Linked DNA regions of Drosophila melanogaster. The protein of the gene in region 1 purifies or fractionates together with the protein of each later gene. This does not show direct contact. Each region holds a gene or a part of one and is shown on either strand. Other genes may lie near its edges. The genes, in order: hyx and atms.

Region 1 (5,941 bases):
CAGCTGAGAATTCCCCGGCTCTTCACATCGATCGCCGATAGCCGATCAATATACACATAATTAAGTAAAAACTGTAGCAAATGCCAATGTTTAATTAGAAAACACATATGCAAACGGGTCATGGGGAAAAGGCAGTGCTGTTCGAAGGAAAAGAAAAGGGAAAGGACTTCAGACAGGCCAAGGAAAATGAAGGAGCCGTTTGAGGAGCAGTTGTCGTGTTTCATATATATGTACATACATATGTATAAATACCCGAACTAATCCTGCGGACACAAAAGGGAATTCAGGAGAACAGAACCCAAAATTGCGCAAGCACTTGAGAAACAGAGCAATAGTGGAGGAGGTATTCCCATATGTATTCCCAGTCTGCAAGGATCGAGGGTATAGTGAATGTTTGTACATATTATATTGTGGAGAACAGAGTTTGAGGATATGGTTAAAATTACACGTTGACAACTATTCTAAGATACTACTAATAGAATTCTAATACTTCTTTGCAGACAAGATAGTATTATACATCTTCTACATAGCTTTAAAGAAGAAGGTCTTTGTAGATCTTAAAGATTCCCATACCGAGGGTTGCTTGCCGTCCATATACTCTCTTCAAAAAACCTGACTTATTCAGAGGAACTCCTCCATATTTTGAGGATACCTGCGACAGCAGTTGGCTTCATCCCGAAACTCCGATCAAGATCTAACAAAAGGGAACTAGAATGCATCCCATTTGCCAACTGCAACTTAAACTTCCACATCCACTTCCCATTTCCGCATCCTCGCGTGCGTACGCTAATCAAATATCAACATCGCCGAGGAATAACCGCCAATGCAACACATGCGGGGGAAACTGCGTTCCGTTAGAGAAATATACGTTCTGTTGGCCAAATGTTTGCCTTTTCAGGGGGTTTCGGCTTTCACGGTTTTCATATTGCAGTTTTTTCCCGCCCGTAAAATGGAAAACCTCCCTTGTCCCATGAAAAATGCGAGATCTGCGCTTGGAAGATATCTTTTCGGTTACTCCGATGCAAACAGGACATTTGGCAAGTCATAGAAAGAAGTTCCTGGCGGGTTTCCAGCCCACAGCATGTGTCTTTGTCTCAGGGTCAGGGAGTTACAACTCGGTGATCCTACCTGAACCGAGCGCCTATTGGGGTTTACTTATTCTCTCCTCCGCCTTTGTGCGATCCTTCGTCCTTCGTCTTGTGCCCGTTTTGTGAGAAATCATTGCCATAAACTCTATAATTTATTGTCCACAGCTGCATGGGCATCTTGGGTCTAATCGAAGCTGATACGATTCGATGGAGTCCCTGATGATGTGGATGTGTTAAGCAGGTAAGTGCAGTTCTGCAATCCCCGTAAAATACACCTGTAAGGATACGATGTCCATTGCGCCAAGCTTCGCGTCCTACAATCAGACTTATTTTCCTGAGCTGATTTTATGTCGGGATTTGTAGAAATCTTCTTTTTTAAATTTTTACCACCTTATTTTTTTTGACTTTTCGGTAGCCTAAGCTGCTTACTACTTTGATATCTCTATAGGCGGGCTCGGAATAATTGTTTAAGTGTACTTGCATGGGTTATACATCTTTTGCTTTTATGGTCAGTTCTTTGGGGATGACCTCTAATAAATAAAGTTTAATTTATTATCACAACGTTACACCAGTTTCTAAACGTTTAAACGTTTGTTTTGGTCTTTTTATTTCATATGGATAGAATGTGAATGGAAAAGCTTCAAAATCACACGAGCTTTTAAAATATTTTCAAGGAACCTAATAGGAAATATTTTGAAATCACAGATATCATATATTAGGTTTTAAATCCCAACAGAAATAATGTTATAGTTAAAATCAGGTTTTACACCTGTAAGATTAAAATCAAGTAACAAAAACTATCGACACTAACGCGAAACCAGCGAGTGTCATCGCTAAGGGGGATCAGCTGTTTGCCAACATGTGAGTGTGTGGGTGGTGGGAAGGTCACAAACCTATTGGAATGCCCATAGTTTTTTAATTCATATTCAAGCGGGGCTTATAACTGTAATACACTTTACTATAACTTTAGGATTCCATTTTAAATAGAAACTTTACCAACTTATGGCGATTCGGCTTATTTGTTGTAAGGTGACAGACAAGCTAAATCCTCCTTACGCGACATCCCATGTTAAATCAAGCCTTGTTTACTTACCTATTTTACCAGCCGACTGACCCATTGCTTAATTAAAATCACAAATTGCGTGTTTCGCTTCCCGAAAGGCACAAGAAACAACAGCCACAACAACTAGGACACACACAGCTTCTTTGGCATTGAATTTTCACGTAGACCAGCCCTCGCATAAGCTCGATATTATGTGCACCGTGAGCCGATCGTGTGCTATTGGCAGGCTAGCTCACTTCCGGAATCATAGGCGTTAAATGCGATGCATTTTAAAGCTTTGCCTAATTGTTATTTGGATGGAGCTGCCGGTCGCAAGGCTTTTTTTTAGTGTGACCGCGTTAGTATTTAAACATGACAGTCCAGCTTTGCCATCTGCCACACAAGAATATACCATACAATATTTATAAATAAACAAATCACTAGACGCGCTAGAAAAGTCATTTACTTCGTTTATTAATGATGCCAATTCCTGAAGATGTGAAGTGTTCTAAAGAGTTGTCGTTGTATAACGTGCCATTAAGAAAACTAATTGTTAACAAATCACAGGATACGAAAAGCCGTGACTTAGTGCGATATTTTTTAAAGACGAAACTTCAGCGATTTATACCAAATGAGAAGCGATGCACTCTCTATGATATTTGGTATTTTTCACCCCGCCTACGGTCACACTCCACGCAACCTCTGGCAAAAAACTAAAAATATGCCATAAAAAGCGAGAATCGAAGTTGTTTATATATCTTTCGCGGATTACAAAGTGCGTAGCCGCCGCGCGCCTTCCAGAGCGACACCGACCACACACGCCCGCCGCCCGAAAACACACAGAAAACCGGCAGAAAAATGGCAGATCCGCTCAGCCTGCTTCGGCAGTACAACATAAACAAAAAGGAGATTGTCGAGCGAGACAGCCAGATTATCTTCGGCGAGTTCTCCTGGCCGAAGAGCGTGAAGACCAACTATCTCAAATATGGGTAAGTGCGGTCAGGACGACCTGTGGGACAACTAGGATTAGCCACTAACTCTTACACTTTTCTCCCGTCGATTAGATCCGGTAAGAAGGGCGCTCCACGTGAGTACTACACGCTGGAGTGCCTGCTGTACCTGCTCAAGAATGTGATGCTGCAACACTCGGTCTACGTGCGACAGTGCGCCGCCGAGGATATACCCGCTGTGAATCGGCCGGATCGTAAAGAGCTCCTGGCCTATCTGAATGGCGAGACGCCAACGTGTGCCAGCATCGACAAGAGTGCCCCGCTGGAAATCCCCACTCAGGTGAAGCGTGCCGCCGAGGGTGAACCTTCCAGCGTTGAGGTGGCTGCCAAGAAGGCCCGCTTCGAGGAGACTCAAGTGCAGAAGGTGCGCGAGCAATTGGCCGCCCGATGGGATGTCAACCAGAAGGAGACCGCTGTCAACATGGACAACATCAAGTCGCTGTCCGAGACGATGTCCGTTGAGAAGATCGCCGCCATCAAGGCAAAGCGTCTGGCCAACAAGCGAACGACCATTAAAAGGACGGACAATGACGAGGCCATGGGAACTGATTTGCGTGCCATCCTGGACTATGATGTGGACTCCACAAAGGACATTATCAGCAGAGAACGGCAGTGGCGCACGCGAACTTCGATTCTGCAAAGCACGGGCAAGATCTTTGCCAAGAACATCTTTGCTATGCTTCAGGGCATCAAGGCGCGCGAGGAGGGACGCAATCGTCCACAGGTGCCCAATCCCATTAAGATGCCGGAGCCGGCTCGAATAGCCAAACCACAACCGCAGCTCTCGCAATACAACCGTTACGACCAGGAGCGCTTCAATCGGCAAAAGGAGGAGACCGAGGGCTTTAAGATCGACACGCTCGGCACATACCACGGTATGTCGCTGAAATCCGTGACGGAGGGCTCACTGGCTCAGCGTAAGGCGCAGGCTAACAACCTACCGGGAGCACCGGGTGTAATAGCGGGAGCAGCCGCCGGGCGGCCCAAGGAATTGCTACCTGCGGCCCAAGCTCGGCAACTGCCCGCCAATGGTCCATCGAAGCGAACATCTCGCACCCCCATTATTATCATACCGTCTGCCAACACAAGCCTCATTACCATGCTCAACGCGAAGGATATCCTGCAGGAACTGCGCTTCATGTCCACCTCGGATAAAAAGCTGCAGGGCTGCCAGCGCGAATGCGAAGTGCTGTTACAGGTGCGATTTAATGTAACGAATTCTCTTCCAAATGGTTTATATACCAAAAGGTTTTACAGCATTTGTTTCCGAAGATGTATTCAATTTCCTATTAAAATATTAAAGATAAGAGTTGGCATACACCAGTGCTAATTTATTTTCCCTTTTATTCACACATAGCGAAAACGCAACAATCAGACTGTGTCTTACCGGGTGATAGATAATCCCACCAAGCTCTCGCAACAGGAGTGGCAACGGGTGGTGGCCGTCTTCGTTATGGGACCCCAGTGGCAGTTCAAGGGCTGGCCTTGGGAAGGCAATCCCGTCGATATATTCTCAAAAAGTTAGTTAACATCATGCCCAGCTCTCTAAGTTTAATTCACTAAGTCTCATTTTCTTACCTACTGCAGTTTGCGCTTTTCATTTGTGCTTTAGCGAAATGAAATTGGACTCAAACGTGGAGCGCTGGTCAGTGACGCTACTCCGACTATCGCAAAACAAGCGTCATATGGATCGGGCAGTGCTCAGCAAATTTTGGGAAACTTTGGACAAGTAAGTGCTTATATAAAAATCCACCATTTCGTTACAAAAGATTTACAATGCAATCTTTTTAGATATATAGCCAAGTACAAGCCCGATTTACGATATTAACCCTCACCGCATTCTTAAACGTTCTGCTGAAACACGACACCTGCTGTTTTCAATCCCACTCCCAAGTAGTTACCATTATTATAGACAGGCTGTACTACATTATGCAACAAACGACGCAAATAGTATGTTACAGTGTGCGCCCAACTTCCGTAGGAAAGACACCAAGCCGAATCTGGGGCATTTGGCCAGTTCCAGTGCGAGTTTCCGATTAGAGCCCGACCAGGATTATCTCGCTTTTGGCAACAGCATTATAAGTCGCAGGCCTGCGATCGTGCAAATAGGCCCAAATACGCAGTTAGTAGTTAAGATAAAGTTTTTCGTTCAAATTGTACAATGTAAACTACAAAACACAAACATCTGAGAGCAAGTATCCTTTGTATTTTTAGTGATAATAAACAGTTAAAAGCCATTCTGTTTCGGTTATTCAAACAGAAGGTAACATAATTGGAATTTATTTGGCTGTCATCAAGTATATTTTCTCAATTATTTAACCTTTTCAAAGATCATATATTGGAACTTTTTCATACCTCCCATCGTTAAAGTCATAAATCAAACGAAATAGTAGTATTTCATTATTTCTGTTTATATAGCAAAATATGTGGGTTTATGTCATGTTAGCTTGTGGTCAGTAACTTTACTATCTAATATAGGTTTAGGGGATTAAATAAAAATACTATTTCTCGGCCAGCGAAGCACGATAGTTACTGGTGAATCTTCAGGAGGACTTGCGATCATCGAACTGCTTCCTGGCTGCCTTCAGCGTGTTGTGCATCAGCATGGCCACCGTCATGGGACCAACTCCGCCGGGCACAGGAGTGATGTGGCCGGCGACCTGGCGAACTTCTGCAAAGTGATGAGGAAATGAATCAATCTTGTTGGTCTTTAGTGATTTAATAGATCAGCCACACACCTTCAAAGTCCACGTCTCCGACCAGCTTAAACTGGCCAGTGCTCTCATCCTTGATGCGGTTGA
Region 2 (5,043 bases), 4.3 Mb from region 1:
TTGTGGTAACCTCACGGGGCACGTGGCCTCCTACGAGCTCCACGTGTTCTTCCGGTGCCTCTCCGCCGTTTGCTGTGCCCAGATGTACACGGCCGGAGGCCAAATCAGTAAGTGGCAAGACTTAGTTTAAATGTAAATGGATATGTCTAATGAATTTTTAATTATTTGCTCCTTACTACAGTGGCCGACATAACGGGGGGAAAGTACCGAACTTGCGTCTCCACACTCTTTGAGCAGTTCTGGTCTATTGGGGTAATGATGTTGCCCGGAGTTGCCAGCTTCTGGTCCAGCTGGTCCCACCTCTACATGGCCATCTCGTGGCCAACTGTGATACTAATCTATCTGTGGCAGTGAGTAATCAAAAACAGATATTGATAGCAAACTCATAGAGTTAGAGGGTTATCTAGATTCGCATAAGTAACGTATTATAAGTAACCCTCATAAAATACATTTATTATCAGGATTACTAGCCCAAAAAGGAACTGCTGTGCAGCATTCATGTGTACCAACATTTTGTGGCCCATACTGACACTTGCGTCTCGCATCCCTTTTACAGGTGGATTCCCGACTCGCCGAGATGGCTTATCGCCCGCGGACGCACACAGGACGCCAAGAAGATCTTGCTGGAGTGCGTGGAGGTGAATGGGACGGGCTACAACCTACCGCACGACATCGACCAGCAGCTGGAGCTGCAGGCGCAGACCGCCATGGACGCTCCTCCGCCGAGTGGCTGGTGGTCGATGTGGAAGGGGGAGCGAGCGGTGCGACACATTGTGTGTGTGCACCTGGCCTGGTCGCTGTACATTGTGGTCTATTACGGCATGCTGCTCAACATCCGCTCCTTCAGTCGCGACCACCTGTACATTAACACCTTTTTCGCGGGCTTCAGCGAGATGATGGGCACTTTCTTCGGGCTCTTCCTGATTCTGAAAACCACCCGCAAGTGGCTGTGGACGGGACTCTTTAACATCGTGGCAGGATGCATTGCCTACTGCGGCTGGCTGGTCCCGAAGCCCAGCGTAATTGGGCTGGATCCGAATGTAGCCCTGCTGATGTGCTCTGCCATGGTCTCGAAGATGGCCATTTCCACTACGCTCAGTATACTGACTACCTGCACGGTGGAGCTGGTTTCCGATGACAAGAAGAAGATCACTTCCTTCTCCACGATTTGCTGGGCCCGTTTCTGGCTGCTGGGAGCGCCCTTTATTGGATCCACAGTGGTCTTCGGCCAACTCATTCCCCAGACGGCCTTCGCATCTCTGGCCATTCTCGGTGGCCTGTGCACCTCCCTGATCAGCAGTCCCAGGACCCATCCCATCTCAAGACCCTCCTCGCCTGCTGCACAGGGAACCCAAAACATCACCTCGCAGTTCACCATCATTGACGGCATGGACAACAAGGGGTACAGCCCCACCTCGAAGACCATCCACTCGAACAGCACTATTTTAAAACTAAACACGCCGCAATCGAATCTACCTCCACAACTGATGCCCGGCATTTGGACGACCAAGATAACCGAGGATGGCCCACCCATGTGAACTGCCTTCAGAAAGCGTGCGTTGACAAATTAGCGGTGTGTTTGGACTTAAGATATAGAAATTTTTCTATAGCCCAGGAGTGGAGCCTCTATGATAATAAATCATATGCTGAGGGAAAGAAGCAGATGTTCAAAAAGTTAAGATATTGCTAGATTCACAGCTATGGCCGCGATCTGGTTCACTTTGGTGGTGCTGTGACTTGTAAACTATAGTCTATACAATTTGTTAGCGGTATATACTATGCGCCCGCTTTATAAGTTTATGGGCGCACTTATTGTAAGACACATTAGCTATCCTTTTTAAGAGGAAGAGTCAATATATTACTAGAATTTTCGCACACTTTTGTAGTACGTACATCAACTTCAACCTAAATCGGAGTGCTCAAGTGAGAAAGTCTCGCGCACTTGAAAACAAAATTACCTTAGGCAACACTTAAGCTAAAGCTGTGGAATAGAATCCTCGAGCAAATTATTTTAAATGGATAAATAAGCTCGCCGACAAAACCCAAACCCATACATATATTTTCCATTACCTTTAATTTTAGGGATTAGTTTATTTAGGCTATCCTCAGAAGACCTTAAATCATTCAAGTCTGGGATAAGCTTCAGCGCAGCCATAATTAGTAGTCTCATAAGAAAGTAAGTCAGATGTGGAGCACACCTTGAGAAAAAGGAGAAAGCCCAGTATTAAGCAGTCACTATTGAACCAAATCAAAAACGTACCGAATCGAACCTCACTGCACAGACAAACCATCTTTAAATGGTGATCCTTCTAAAGGCCTGTGGTTCCACATTAAGTGATTGTGTTGTAAACACCTGGAGAGAATTTCATGAAAAGACATACGAGTAGTTACACAATAATTATATATTATGGACAACTTTTATTAATTACCTTAATCTAATAATACTAATTGATTAGAACAACAATAATATTAACCTACACATTGAATAATTTACATTCGTTACGTATTGTAATTATCAATTACCAAGCTAATTTAAAATAAAACAATTAGTAGTTTTCAGGCTCTACATAAATACACAAGGCATAAATTACAATACATAATATTTTTAAAGTTGCATCACCTAGTGAATACGCTTAGCAACTTGTTGAATGTTATCATATATTGGTTACTACATAAAAGGAAGTGTTATACATGGCAAAAGAGCAATATTTTTCTAATAAAGCATCATCATAAAAACGAATTGATTTATTTTTTATCGTTGTTTGTTTTTTGTTTAATTAACGAGGGATATCTGTTATATCGATAGAAATTGAAAAAAAATATATATTAAAACAAAAAGAAGTTTTAAATTTGTAGAAGTGTGGGCGGTTTGTGGGCGTCAGAAGGGGCGTTGCTTTTGTTGGTAAATCGGTACAAATTTACAAAACCAATAAGAAAATCAAAAACATTTCCTAAAAGTGTGGGCATAGCAATCTTTGGCAGTTTGTGGGCGTGGCAAGAAGTGTTCTGGCAAATCGATAGGACCGAAGTTTGGAACCTTCATGGCCAATCTCAACTTTCTAGCTCTTATACATGCGTACTAATGTACATACATAGTTCCTGAGATCTCGAAGTTCATACGGACATGGACGGACCGATCCTGGTTAAGAATAAATAAATACTTGTTCACTATTAGTTAAATTTCCAAATATATAACTTTTCGGAATCCCGAACGGTTGAGTCGTTGAGTTACGCGGTTGCATTACAATTCTCAGAAGGCAACAAAATAGGGTGACGGTGTTGCCAGCCCTAATAAAGAGAAACATAATCGTCGAGTAGAAGTGCTCTCGTTTATGGATTTAAGAGAATGAAGTGCCTAGTTTTATACTTTAATATTAAATATTTGGACTTTCTGCGCTAATAATACGGCAGACTCCGAAAATATGTACAATACGATGCATATAAATCGTTGTTATATAAGGTCACTTTCCGAAATATATTCCTATAAGTTATTCTTTATAAAAATAATATCAAACAACAACACATCTTAACTTTATTGTGATAAAAGATGATTTTACATTTCACTACATAAAAAAATTGAGCAGTCGTCACTACTTCAATACAACATATCCAATATCAATATTTTACTGCAGCGTGTCAAATGTTTGTTTAAAAAAGCGTATTAACTGTGTCAAATGTAAAATTTTTTTTGGCACAATAATGTACTTGAAAACTTTTATATGCGATCTACCTGTGTTATACTTTAAACTTTTGACTTGTACTCTTCAAGTATCGTGTGCTAGAAATATAAAATGCAGTATTATAATACTGTGTATATCTACATAAGTAGGTAGCAAACATTATATTCTCGGTGACAAAAGTGATTATGGTAATAATACCAAAGCTACTGTTCCCTTTTTAATTCCAATTCTTTATTTTGACCGACTTTCATTTACTTGAAAATTCGTTGAAAAAAAAAATAAAGAAAAACTTGGATTTTATTTAACCATTCATAGATCGAAATATTGTGTAAGTGCAATTAAATAATGTTATTAATAACATGCTAGGTAACATTTGCCCTCTGGTATTTTTTCCCTGCTGGCAATTTGGCCACACTGTCACTTATGCTTCTTCAAATTGTAGCGGCATTTTCGCCAAAGCAACGTTGGAAATTCGCGTCACCAATTTCATATTGCGATAAATAAGAGTTTTATCCGAAAACGTATAGCTTAACTGTGTCATCGGCCTGTAGAAGAGCGCTGCCTGCCGGGATACACATATGCCATGGAATTCGACGACGCAGAAAATGGCCTAGGAATGGGATTTGGTGGTCGCGGCGTTCTGCGGGAGATCAACAAAAACGATGGCGGCATTAAGGTAAGTTAATAGCTGGACTTGGAGGCGTGCTCCGTCCGCGATGTACCAATGCAGCCACTTTCGGCAGAGGCATAATTCAACTCACACGTCTACAGGTACATATGTGTGTGTTCGGTTATGTACTTTGTACATATGTGTGGGTATGCTGCGTCGCAGGCTGTTCTGCTATTTTCTTTATTCGCAATTGTTCATCGTAAATACATATGTACATATAAATTTCCATTATTCGCTGTTCCTATTAGCTCTGAGGCAGCTGTCGCGAACGAGAGTTCTCTAGTTGATCGGTGTCCGCCGGACATTGTCCATCCCAGGTGACCAGTTTCCCCGATCTGCCATAGCCATAGGAGAATGGGCAATAAGCCGGGCAAGACACGGAAACCGAGGGCCTTGTCCGGGAAAATTACCATAAAGGCGGACGACGGACGAGGGAATCGGGTATGCCAAGGGAAAATCAAAAGTTACTTATTCTTCCTTCTATATATTTGTCTCTTGAAATTTCCACTCTCCAGATGGTGCACTTTCCATTTAAAAATGCTAGTGTGTATCGCTATTATGCCAATAAATCAGTTGGCGGCTAACGGCTGCAAAATGTCAGTGCCTAATGCGGTTTACAGTCCAAAAAACGCCCATCTGAGGATTTAAGTTTGACTAAATGTCATTTAACTCCATCTTCCCTTTTGCCAACAA

What was found.
Region 2: the proteins of hyx (region 1) and atms purify together in Drosophila melanogaster (affinity purification with western blotting; 2 studies listed by BioGRID, with this or other methods). This does not show direct contact.

What each region holds. Positions count from the first base shown.
Region 1 is NT_033777.3:9,036,974-9,042,914, forward strand, and holds hyx (hyrax), read left to right. Parts: upstream 1-1,786; 5' UTR 1,787-1,949; intron 1,950-2,181; coding exon of another isoform or gene 2,182-2,206; exon of another isoform or gene 2,207-2,498; intron 2,499-2,697; 5' UTR 2,698-2,988; coding exon 2,989-3,119; intron 3,120-3,194; coding exon 3,195-4,338; intron 4,339-4,497; coding exon 4,498-4,660; intron 4,661-4,727; coding exon 4,728-4,869; intron 4,870-4,931; coding exon 4,932-4,968; 3' UTR 4,969-5,376; downstream 5,377-5,941. Other genes in the region: Nmdmc (NAD-dependent methylenetetrahydrofolate dehydrogenase), read right to left, coding at 5,684-5,811, 5,879-5,941.
Region 2 is NT_033777.3:4,748,104-4,753,146, reverse strand, and holds the start of atms (antimeros), read right to left. Parts: upstream 3,113-5,043; 5' UTR 3,093-3,112; intron 2,739-3,092; exon of another isoform or gene 2,354-2,738; 5' UTR 2,261-2,353; exon of another isoform or gene 2,199-2,260; 5' UTR 2,071-2,198; exon of another isoform or gene 1,539-2,070; coding exon of another isoform or gene 557-1,538; intron 351-556; coding exon of another isoform or gene 182-350; intron 108-181; coding exon of another isoform or gene 1-107. Other genes in the region: CG44098 (uncharacterized protein), read left to right, coding at 1-107, 182-350, 557-1,538.